Linked DNA regions of Lonchura striata. The protein of the gene in region 1 purifies or fractionates together with the protein of each later gene. This does not show direct contact. Links are inferred from orthologs where the notes say so. Each region holds a gene or a part of one and is shown on either strand. Other genes may lie near its edges. The genes, in order: STX18, SCFD2 and NBAS.

What was found.
Region 2: the proteins of STX18 (region 1) and SCFD2 purify together in Homo sapiens (co-immunoprecipitation; 3 studies listed by BioGRID and IntAct, counting the BioPlex papers as one, with this or other methods). This does not show direct contact. The link is inferred for Lonchura striata from reciprocal best matches to the Homo sapiens genes STX18 and SCFD2.
Region 3: the proteins of STX18 (region 1) and NBAS purify together in Homo sapiens (co-immunoprecipitation; 5 studies listed by BioGRID and IntAct, counting the BioPlex papers as one, with this or other methods). This does not show direct contact. The link is inferred for Lonchura striata from reciprocal best matches to the Homo sapiens genes STX18 and NBAS.

The regions. Positions count from the first base shown.
Region 1 is NC_134606.1:13,114,947-13,118,694, forward strand, and holds the start of STX18 (syntaxin-18), read left to right. Parts: upstream 1-1,066; 5' UTR 1,067-1,116; coding exon 1,117-1,284; intron 1,285-3,748. UniProt on the Homo sapiens protein: Syntaxin that may be involved in targeting and fusion of Golgi-derived retrograde transport vesicles with the ER.
Region 2 is NC_134606.1:26,634,474-26,638,221, reverse strand, and holds the start of SCFD2 (sec1 family domain-containing protein 2), read left to right. Parts: upstream 1-1,375; 5' UTR 1,376-1,378; coding exon 1,379-2,114; intron 2,115-3,748. UniProt on the Homo sapiens protein: May be involved in protein transport.
Region 3 is NC_134605.1:101,624,462-101,628,209, reverse strand, and holds the start of NBAS (NBAS subunit of NRZ tethering complex), read left to right. Parts: upstream 1-1,060; 5' UTR 1,061-1,096; coding exon 1,097-1,234; intron 1,235-3,748. UniProt on the Homo sapiens protein: Involved in Golgi-to-endoplasmic reticulum (ER) retrograde transport; the function is proposed to depend on its association in the NRZ complex which is believed to play a role in SNARE assembly at the ER. Required for normal embryonic development.

The DNA.
Region 1 (3,748 bases):
AATGTGCTTCTGGTCAGTGAAAGGACAGTTAAAAACTACATGGTGTCTGCTGGATCCCAGAGCATTGGGTGGCACATATGTATGCCTAAGCACATTTATATAAACACTGCTACTAGCTATTTGGTCAAAAGCTTTCCCCTCTGTGCCACACAGTCTCATGCAGCTAGGCCACTGCATAGAACGTGATAACAAAGTTGCCTCGATAACAAAGGTTATTTCACAAAATTCATTCTGGAATCAGATTACAAACACTGTGATACATTTTGCAGGTACTGATGTGACACTGTCCCAGCGCAGGATGGCAGCAGACTGGAGGACCTGGGCAGTCAGCTTTCTGTTCTGCAGAGGAAACCATAGCTGTACACTCCAGGTGTAAGGAGGTTGCTCTGCCTACACATGGAATTGTGGTCATAGGACATCCACAGCATCACAGAAACACAGAATATTCTGTGCTGGAAGGCACCCCCATCAGGTCCAACTCCTGGTCCCACACAGGACACCCCCAGAGTCACACCGTGTGCCTGGGAGCTGTGCCCAAACTCTTCAGCTCTGTCAGGCTTCGTGCTGCGGCTGCTTCCCTGGGGAGCGGTGCCAGTATCCATCTCTGGGGAAAGAACATTTTCTAATATCCCACCTAAACCTCCCCGACACAGCTTCAGGCCATTGCCTCGGATCTTGTCCCTGTCACCACGGAGATCAGTGTCTGATCCCACGGATGGCATTGCCTAGGGGAGTATCACACCCCTACTCACACGCTACCTCTGGTAGCGCCTACTCAGCTCGCAGCGCAGATGTGGTTCATCTATCAACTCTAATTAACCCGCCTTGCACCAGCACTGCTTGGCTACACCTGGCAGGACGCTCTAGAGGGCCGTTACGCCGAACATGCTCCAATTTCCGTGCAGCGTTTAGGCAGCACTGGGTATACCTGCAGGCTGTGCCGGACACGGCTGCCGCTCCGTGCCGTGCCGTGCCGTGCCGTGCCGTGCCGCGCAGGCCGCAGTCAGCCGGGCGGCCCCGGCCTGGCGCGGCCTCGCCGCCCCTCCCCGCAGCCGGAACGCGCCGCGCGGGGCCGCGTTGCGCGGGGAAGGGCGCGCGGCGGCACCGGCGGCCGCCATGGCGGTGGACATCACCCTGCTCTTCAAGGCCAGCGTGAAGACCGTGAAGACCCGCAACAAGGCGCTGGGGGTGGCGGCGGCGGCGGGGGACAGCGCCAGGGACGAGCTGCTCAAGCGGGGCACCGCCCGCTCCAAAAGCGACTTCACCGGCAGGGCGCGGGAGGTGGTGAGTGCGGCCGCGGGGGGAGGGCGAGGGCAGCCGGGGCGGCTGCAGCGGCTCCTCCCGGGCGGGCAGCCCGGCCCTCGCCGCCGCCTCGGAGCGTCCGGCGCTCCCCGGGGAGAGCGGGCGGGCCCCGGAGCCGGCCGCAGAGAGCCGCGGGGCAGCGCTTTCCCACGCGGCTGTGGCCTGGGAGAGCCGGGGCGGCCGGGGCCGGCTCCGAGCCCGCCTGTCGCCCGCGTTCCCCGCGGCGCGGCTTCTCCCGGGGCCCTCCTGCCGGGGCTGCGGCCGCGTCCGTGCGGATCCGCCGCCCTCCGGCCGTGCCTGCGTGCGCACGGCTGTTTCCTGCCGCCGCCGCCACGTAACACAGCGCTGCCATGGCACACGCGTCCGGCCGCGTCCGGCGCTGCTCCCTGCGCGCTGCTCCCTGCGCGCTGCCTTCGGCTCGGTTGTTTGCGCTGTCACACGGTGTGGCAGCGAAGGGCCAGCCCTAGGCACATTGCATGTACAAAGGTCATCGGAACGTTTTAAGGTTTGCAAAGACAAGCACTGAATAGTTAAGGAATTTCAGAGGTGAAAGCTGATGGGCATTAACAGCGCTCCTCAGGCCATAGTCGTTCTGTAAAAACAATTTTGTTGGATATTGTGTTTCTCCATTCTGAGTCAAAGGCAGGGTTTGAATAATATATCTTTGATAAAGCACTGGACTGTATTTTGAAAAACTAAGGAACTCTGAGAAGACAGACTTACAGACTGGATTTGCAAGTTTGGGACTAAATGAGAAATGGACAAGTGGTTTATAGCAGCAGAGGAAGCACAAGGAAATCTGAGGTTTTTCGGTTCCATTATAGATACTCTTATAGCCACAGATTTATTTGTTCCCTCTGAACAAGCCTTTTGCCCCATTGCCTCTAGTATTATCTCTGTCTGCATTTTGATTCCTCCTTCTCAGTTTCTGTGTCTGTATTTCAAATTATTTAGAGTCTCAGACTAGGTTCATGCCAACTTCTTCCTTCCTTCTAGTCTTTGCTCCCCATTACCTTTCTGCTACCAGGGCTTCTTTGCTTTTGCCTATTCCCAAGTTTGGTTTTGATTTTTAAAGTTCTATTCATACTCAAGCCTACCCTCATCTCCGTCTTTCTCCTTGCCCTGCTGTGCTCCTGTGCAGTGATAGCATGCTATAGCTGTCTTTTTTTTTCTGCCCTGGTTCTTTGGCTTACCACTGTTTACAGCCGCTGTTTCATGATGATCCCAGTGTTTTCTCTGAGCTCCTCACCGTTTCTGAGTTTCCTTAGTGCAGACAACAGAAGGAAGGATGAAGGCGTGGAGAAAAATGTCATGTTTAATTTGTAAGAGCATCAGGTGAAGTAAACAGCTAGTGCCAAGGGGGATGAGCTGAACTGTCTGAGGGGGACAATGGTTTTAATTAATGGTACTTACATAAACAAGGACTTTGGAGGAGAAGCAAAGCTGCAATGTGTTGCTGTGTGAACACGTGGCTGTTGACAGCTGGTCAGTGAGAAGGAGCAAGGTGGACTGGCCTTGCTCTGTAACTCCTCTGCGACAGTGAGCCAACAGCCCACCAGACCACAGAACATCATTTTGATGTGTGAATAGAACACTGAAACTGCAGCCAGAAGAATTAAGATTTATAGTAAAATAAATGATGATTTTACCTGTTTGTTTCAGCCAAATACAGTTCAGTTTGATCATCTTATGTGTCAAACCCTCTAATAGTAAAGACCCTGAATAAGCTACATTTAGCCACCACTTTCTTTATGCCTTACTTGGTTGCAGAATAGAATATTTCAATTGGAAAGGACCTACAGCCATCATCTGCTCCAACTACCTGACCCCTTCAGGGCTGAGCAAAAGGTAAAACAAGTTATTAAGGGGATTGTCCAAATGCCCTTTGAACACTGACAGGCTTGGGGCACCAGCCACCTCTCTGGGAAGCCTCTTCTGGTGTTTAACCACCTGCTCATTACAAAATGCTTCCTAATGTCTAGTCTAAGCCTCCCCTGGCACAGCTTTGAACCATTCTCAGTCATCCTGTCCGTGGATACCAGAGGGAAAAGATTGGCACTTCCTTCTTCATGTCTTCTCCTCAGGAAAATGTAGAGCAATGCGATTGCTCTTCAGCCTACTTTTCTCCAAACTAGAGAAGCCCTAAGTCCTTAGTGCAAGTTCTCCATCTGACATGCAAATATGGAAGTAGTGAAATAATAGAGTCTACACTACTCTAGAAAGAAGTACTCCTTTCAACATTATATTCTGCATGGTTTTGCATAGCATCTTGCAGGTAGAGCTGTGCTGATGCTGCTTGTGCTCCAAGCTCCAGGAGTAGCAGCCAACTGTTCACAGCTGCAACACAGTTGGAGTGTGGGACTGGGCAGGCACTCAGCTGTAGGATCAGAGATCTCTCTAGCCCATCGCAGAGAAGTTTTGTGTCACATAATTAAGGTGTTTGAGC
Region 2 (3,748 bases), about 14 Mb from region 1:
TGTACAAATGGAGCTTGTGGTGTTTCAGGATGTATGTGAAAACTAAAACAGGGGTCTGCTTTTTCACAGCAGGTCAGTTTGGGAAAAATCAGACTAGAGGACTGTAACATAAACACAACTCACAGTGAGGGGATTTTATTTTAATTGCCTACAGAGAGAAGCTTATTTGAATGTTTCATATATGGCATGACATTTCACTGGAGTTCACAAGAACAACCAACCCACTCAAATTTATTTTTCACCCCCGCAAAATTAAATGTCTGAGTATTGTGGAACAGGTAATGAATTATGTGATGTAACTGGGTAGGTTTTCATCTTGCTATTTCATTTTTGCACAAATAATTGTGGAGTCAGCAAAGGCATTTTTCACCACTGAGTCACTTATTTCTCATAAGACAAATGTGTATATGTAGTACCTCTTCATAGACATCGGTGTCTGAATTTTCATTCCTGTTATGTTTACTTTGCCACTTCACACAATAGTAGTTAACTAGCCCCCATCCTTAGTGTTCATTTCTCAAATCAAAATCGTCAAGAAGACTATTAACTTACATATTTATCTAGCATCATGAAGCTATATGCCCTATAGTTAAAATAACAGATTGGTGCTAGAAAGAAAGCACAAAGAAAGGGAAGAATGCATCTGAGTAGCAATATCAGTAGAGAACACTGAAAGGAAAGGATCTGATTTAATTACTGGAAATCTAGTGAATTCAGTGTTCCTCATGTTTTTCAGTGTCCTGAAACCATTTGAATCTGTAAGATAATTGAATCTGTAAGAGACCTAAGAACAGCAGTTAAGATGGAAGGTGAAGTAACTAAGTATTTTATCTCTTTATTAATGCTGATAATCCTGCTGTCTCAGAAAAGGTGCCTTCCTGGCTGTGCACCAAGGAGGCTGCCCAGCTGAATTCTATGTAGAGCACAGATTTGCAGGCGGGCCATCCATTTTCTGGGGAGAAGAAACTGTAGATGCTTGTTATGGCATTTTTTTTCTAGTTAGTTTTGAAACCGATTTCGAGATGATAGGCTTTTAAAGGGGGACATGGAATTAAAATAATTTGTCATACGTCTCTAACTGTACAGCGAAAAGTCGCATTTACTGAGCGAGAGTACTCCGTGTCGCCAGGTCATTCACCAAAGCACTTGCTAACCCTAGCACAGTGAGTACCCAAGAGCAGGGCAGGGGCAGCGATGAAGGTCCCTCCCGCCTCTGGGGTCCGGACACGCAGAGCGCCGTGGCAGCGGCCGTTCCCGCGGGAGCGGCCCGGCCCCCGCCAGCGCCCCGCCCCGCGCGCGCGGCCAGCCCGCGCCCGGCACGTCATCGCGCGGCGCCGGGGCGCGCCGGCACGTGCGGCGTGTTGTGGCTGTCAGCGCCATGGCGGCGCCGGAGGCGCTGCGGCAGCTCAGCCGCCGGGCCTGGGAGCCCGCGCTGGCCCGGGCGCGCCGCGCCGCCGTCCTCATGGACGCGCCCTCCGCCGAGGCGCTGCACTGGGCCGGCGGGGCGGGCGAGCTGCTGGCGGCCGGGGCGTTGGCTGTCAGCGCGTTGTCCGCCGAGGCGGCGGTGCCGGCGGGGGCGGCCCGCGTCGTGTTCGTGGTGAGCGGGACGCTGCGGGGCGGCGCGGCGGCCGCGGTGCGCGGCGTGCTGGAGCGGGGCGCCGTGCGGCACTGCTCCCTGGTGTGCGGCGACGAGGCGGACGGCGGCGCGGCGGCGGAGCTGGAGGAGACCTTGCGGCGGTGGATGGGCGAGGGCGGCCGCGCCGAGGTGGTGCTGCGCGGCCCGCCGCTCCTGGCGCCCGTCTCGGCGGAGCTCTGCCTGCTGCCCGCCCTGGCAGCGCTCCTCCCGCCGCTGCCCGGCCCCGGCGGCCCCGGCCCCGCAGAGGTTGGACTGGGTGCGCTGCCCGCCGAGCTGCGGGCGGCGGTGCGGGCCCTGGTGGGTGAGCTCGACTCTCTCTTCACCGCCCTGGGCCTGCGGGAGGAGAGCTTCGCTGTGGGGGGCCTCAGCAGGGTCGTCGCCGCTGAGCTAGCAAGCTATGCCTCAGCCAGAAACAGGAGGAGGACAGCCACCAACAAGGCCTCTGTCATCTTCGTGGACAGGACGTTGGACCTCGCCGGTAAGAAATCCTCACCTGCTACGTGCTGTCATTCTACAGGGCCCATAACTGCCCCACCGGGAGGGTGGCAGATAGTAGGAACCCTGGTGACGTGGTGTTACCAAAAATCCATATTCCACTTTGTACCGTGTCCTCCCATGTGGATATAGCTCTAATTTTGGGTCGTTGGTGGGATTGCTCTTGAGATGTGGTCTGCTAAAATACGCTTGTTCAGTGGTTACCAGGCAGTGATGGTAGAACTCTGGGCTTCTCGTGAAGCTTGGAGAAACGTGGCTGGGTTCAAAGCAGTAGTTCCTGTAAGTTCCACATCATCCTGCTTCAGTAGGAAAACTCGGTGTTGCAGCATTCTGCTGGTGATGCCGAATGTTCTCCTTTCTGTTCCAAAACAGCTATTACCGTGGGGGATATGTCTATGATAAGCTTTTGTCCTGCTGTCAGTTTCATGCTTCCTGGATTTAAAAGCCATTGCTCTCAAGCATCTAGATCATCCATTACTCTTCTTACCCAGTTGTTTGGAAAAGTATTTTACAGGCTGCTTCCATGACCCCAAACTCTGTGCCATACCCCTAGTGCCAGGTGCATCCTTTCATGCAGAAATAGATTAAATGGTTTGGTTAAGTGGTGGTCCCTGGGGGTCAGTGACCCCAAAGTCATACTTAACCACCCAATGAACTGGTGCTGGTTTCCAAGTTAGGAGAAAAGTTGACATAACTGAGCTGATTACTCTCCTGTTCTTGGTTTGTGTTTAACATGATCTTACAGAATAAGCAGTGTTTGGTTCCATTCCACAGGCTAATGGTTTGAAGAGTAATTGTATCTAGCCACCAGGTATGCAAACAGTTCTTCATCTGGCAATACTGGGAGCATGTTTCATCCCATGGCCGTGATGGTTGCTTACACACCCTTGTATCCCAGTGGATTATAGAAATGAAGAGTAAGGCCGAAGGCTCTGCTGGAAATCTTAAAATTTGCTGCAAACTAGAAGCCTTAACTGTGCCTGTGTACCACCTTGAGGTGTGAAGGAAACGGTCTGCATATTTCAGACTCAGCCTTATGGATTGCTATGAAGTATCCAGTGAACCTATTTGTCACTCTTATCTTTATGTCTGTCTAGGCAGACATACATATGTCTCTGTGTAACCCTTAGCCATATCTATGTGCCTGAAAGTGTTTCAGTGCATATTGATATAGGAGTGTCTGCATTTGCTATCCCAGTCATACATACCTCCTGCTGGCATGCACAGGATGTGGGCCTGGTTTTGTTTGTAGTCAATAATTCAGGTCATAATTTTTTGCCACCACATGACATGTAGCAAGTACTTGGCACAAAGTTGCACCCCGCAGCTTGTCTGTTTCTGAATTGTCCTCCGTATTTCTTTTCCTCCCATAATTTTGCCATTGTGTACTCTTGAACTGCTGTAGGGTTCATAGCTATCAACAAGGTGCTAAAGAGCAGCTATGAATCCAGGTAGTTAATGCTATGCTGAGATTTGGAAGATTGCTCAGAAGACTGCAGGAGAGTGGACTTGGATAAGAAACCTTAAAATGAAATTATGAGAAGAGTGTTGGTTTGGGGTGGGAACAGGGAAAGGGTTTGTTTGTGCACTCAGATAGTGAGAAGAAATAAAAACAAG
Region 3 (3,748 bases), on another chromosome or scaffold:
CCAATAATTCCATTTAATTATTTTATTCAAATTAGATAGTTATAATTTTAATCATTCTAATTAAATTTTTTAATTTAATTTCTGTCAATTATTTCATTCTATTTCAATTATTTACATTATTTACATTATTTTAAATTGTTACTCAGAACAGCAAAACAGCAAGTTTTGTGCAGTCTTGTGTCTAATTTAAGCTGTTACTACTCTTCCTGCCCTATAAATGCAATAATGTGTCTTTCATGTCCTTTAAGTAATTTACAATGTTATCATATGATTTTATATTATTTGCATGTTTTATTAATTTGCTTAAACCACAAAATTCTCCTTCTTTTTGTAAAGTAAAAGAGGGAGATGCGGTGGTGTGTTTTTCTTTCATTTGATATTTGTTTAATATCTGTTTCCCCCCCCAACCCCCCTTTCCCTGCCCCTTTCCCTAGAACCTTCCCTGTCATTCATTCTAGCCCCCTCCTCAGCTTCCAGATGTTAGTTCTGCCCTAAACTCCTCCCCTGCTATTCCCTCATTGGTTACTGTTCCTACACCCGTCCTCCTGAGTTCTGTATAAAACCTTTGCCCCCCCGCCCGCCGGGGTCTTGGGGCTCATGGAATAAAACCATCTCGTTCCCCCCCAAGTCCCGTGTCGCCTTCGTCTGTCCCTGCGCGCCACGAACTGAAACTGCAGAGCTTGCGGGGGAAAGCGGCCGCCCGTTCTCTTCCCTCACCGCCCAGCACGGCTCGGAGTGCCGCGGCGAGGAGCGCATGCCGCGCCTCAACACTCCAGCCCTCGGTGTCCTTCCTGCCGGGAGGGACCCAGAACTTACAAATCAGCTAATTTTATCTGCTTGAGAGAGCTGAACGCTAGGAACTCTAACTGGTAGGACTGAAGTATTTAGAAGTCCTCCGTGGCACCATTAAGAACCACTTGCGAGAAATCCACGTTTTCCCTTTTCCCCGTTTTTTGCCCCTCTTCGGTCAGGGCTCCATCCACACCCCGAGGTCCCGCCCGCCGCGGGCCGGCGCCGCGCGAGTGAAAGGCGGAGCGGTTTGGCCGCCGCCGGTTGCCGTCGCCGCGGCGGCGCGGGCAGGGCGGGGCGGTCCGGCATGGCCGCCGCCGGCAGGGACCGCGGCGGGAGCCCCCGGGAGCGCGGCATGGCCGGCGAGCAGGCGGAGGACGGGGAGGAGAACATCCTGTACGACCTGCTGGTGAACGCCGAGTGGCCTCCGGAGACGGAGGTGCAGGTGCGTGTGGCCGCGGCACGGCCGCGGGCGGGGGAGGGGACCGGCCACGTTGGCGCGGGCGAGGACGCGGCGGCGCCCGGGGGCCGCGGGGCCGCGCCGGTGCCTCGGGAGGCTCGGCGGGATGGCCGCGCTGGGCCTGGCGGGCACGCGGCGTGTCCGTGCGGCCACTGTCCCCGTGTGCCTTCGTGTCGCTTAATTCCCACCGTGGCTTGTGCTGCCTGGGGTGCCTTGAAGTGTTGCTTGCTTATTGAACAATGTGTGTCGGGCTTTGCTGTTGAGCTGACACAAGCGAAACTCTGGTGAATGAAGTCCAGGTGTCGTCTCTAGAATCAGCCGTACAGAGAGCTGTGGAGTCTGTGCTGGTGAAAATAGGACCTTCGTTGGGTTTACCTTGTATGAGGAAAATTAGATCCTCTCTCTGGACTCCTGTATCAGTACAGTTGTGTCTGTATTTGCAGGGATAAAAGAGAAAAATATTTGATTTTCTGTCCACAATGCACACAAATATCTATTTCTGATTTCTTAAGTGCTAGTTTACACTGTTCTTGTACTGCAGGTTTTTAGTTATTTCTAGCTGTTCTTCTACCCGGATCACCAGAAAGGCTGAGAAGCTGTTTCATCTTACCTTTTTCATGTTTTCCTCTGCAATGTGCTGAGCTTGCTGCCTTTTGTCTGCACTTGGATTGACTTGGATATAGATGATGCGAGCAGTGTGGTTTTATTCCTTTCTTGTAGTGGCTTTTAAGTCTACTGAAGTTTTTAATGCATTTCCCACTGAAGGTTTGTAATAGAAGCATTTTAGCAAAGTTTTATGCTTAATGAGAACAGCTGAACAGAAAAGATGTAAAAACATCACAAGGGGAAGACTTATCTGTTAAAAATTACTAGAGCCATGCTCAAAACTGAATCATCAATACCACAGATTCCAACAAAAAAAAAAAAAAGTTTTCATTTGTCAGAAAGATTTTTTTGGTGTTGTTGCTCTTGATCTGTAAATCCTCAGTTGCAGCAACACTTATGGGTGTTTGGAAAACACGATTGCAGTATTACTATTTATTAGCTTAATAGGGTATTTGTATAGATGAATTGATAGTTGCACTTATTTTAATTCAACTGTGTTTTGAGAAATGGTAAATAGTCTTTGTTTTTAGTAGCATATGGAAACAATTCTCCTGTTGCAAACCATGAGGAGAACTTAGGTATGACACAAAACTGTGGTTCTTTTACAGCCGTGTTAAGGGGGCACATTTCTGACAAATGCGTTTTCTGCTGCCATAGTGTTCTTGAGGTTGTGTGGTAAGTTGATTAAAGAACTGATAACTCTGAGAAACAACAATGTTGTTTCATCTCCTCTTGTTAGTAGTCTCTCTAGTACCCCTGTAGTGTACTGGAGGGGGCTGTGAATAATAGGTTAGTGAGATGACACCTCTCCATGGTGGGGATGCCAATTTAAAGTGACTGTGTAACCACAGTCTGAGGGTCCTTATCTGCCCTGGTAGTCAGAATTTCTAAGCATCATTGAATTCTGCTTGTTAGCTTAAGCAGATGGTGGTGGTTGTTTTAAACTTGATATTTCTTGCCTATTTATTTTTAAGATAATACCTGTTTTCAATAGCAGAAGTTGGTTTGAAAATCCTATGCTGTATAATTTGCTTGGATTTACATTCTTTTTGGAATCTGTCAGTACTCAAGGACACTTCTGATAGTCTTTTTGCCATTTTAGTGGGAAATTGATTTTACACTGACAACATAGGCAAACAGATTATTTTGTCAGTATGAGTCACTTTTTGTCTTAAGATGCCTTAACAGTGATACTACTTAGGTGATTGTCCTAAATGACACCTAAGTGTCCTTAGGTGACATTCCCTTTGGAGCATCTGTCTCTTTTAGTCCTATTTTTTTCACACTCTTCAGAAAAAAATTATACCCTACTTTCTTGTAGAACTGAATCTTTTGGAATAAGTGAGGTAAAGAATGGTAGAAATGGAAAGGAAGTTGAATGCTGCACTGGGAAATGAAATTAGTTGTCTTCCTATGCAGTAATTTAGGCTACAAAGCCAGACCTTAAACTTTTACAGGTCTTTATTGACTTTATTTTTTCTGTTCTCTCATTTGGGATGATTAATTTTTAATTGCAGAGCACTAGGTCTTAAAGCTCTAATTATTGGAAGATGAGCCTTGGTGATGAAGATGTAAAATCATGTTAAATTCAAGACATTGATGAAACTGGCATGGATCTCTTGGGCTGAATGCCTAAAATTTTTAATATTACTTCTTGTTGGTATTATCATTCACCTGTACTGAGCTTTCCGGTAAGAATTTTTTGGTGGAAGGAGGGCCAGGGAGAGTTATAGTAGTTATTTGTGGAGGAAACACTCAAGGAATTGACTACACCAAAGAAGAGAGTGGTGTGGAAATCAAACAGTCTGTGTTCAGGATAGTGATGCCATTGTATAAAATGCACTGTTTGAGAACAATGAAATATATAATGAGAATAAAAGGAATTACTTAGTA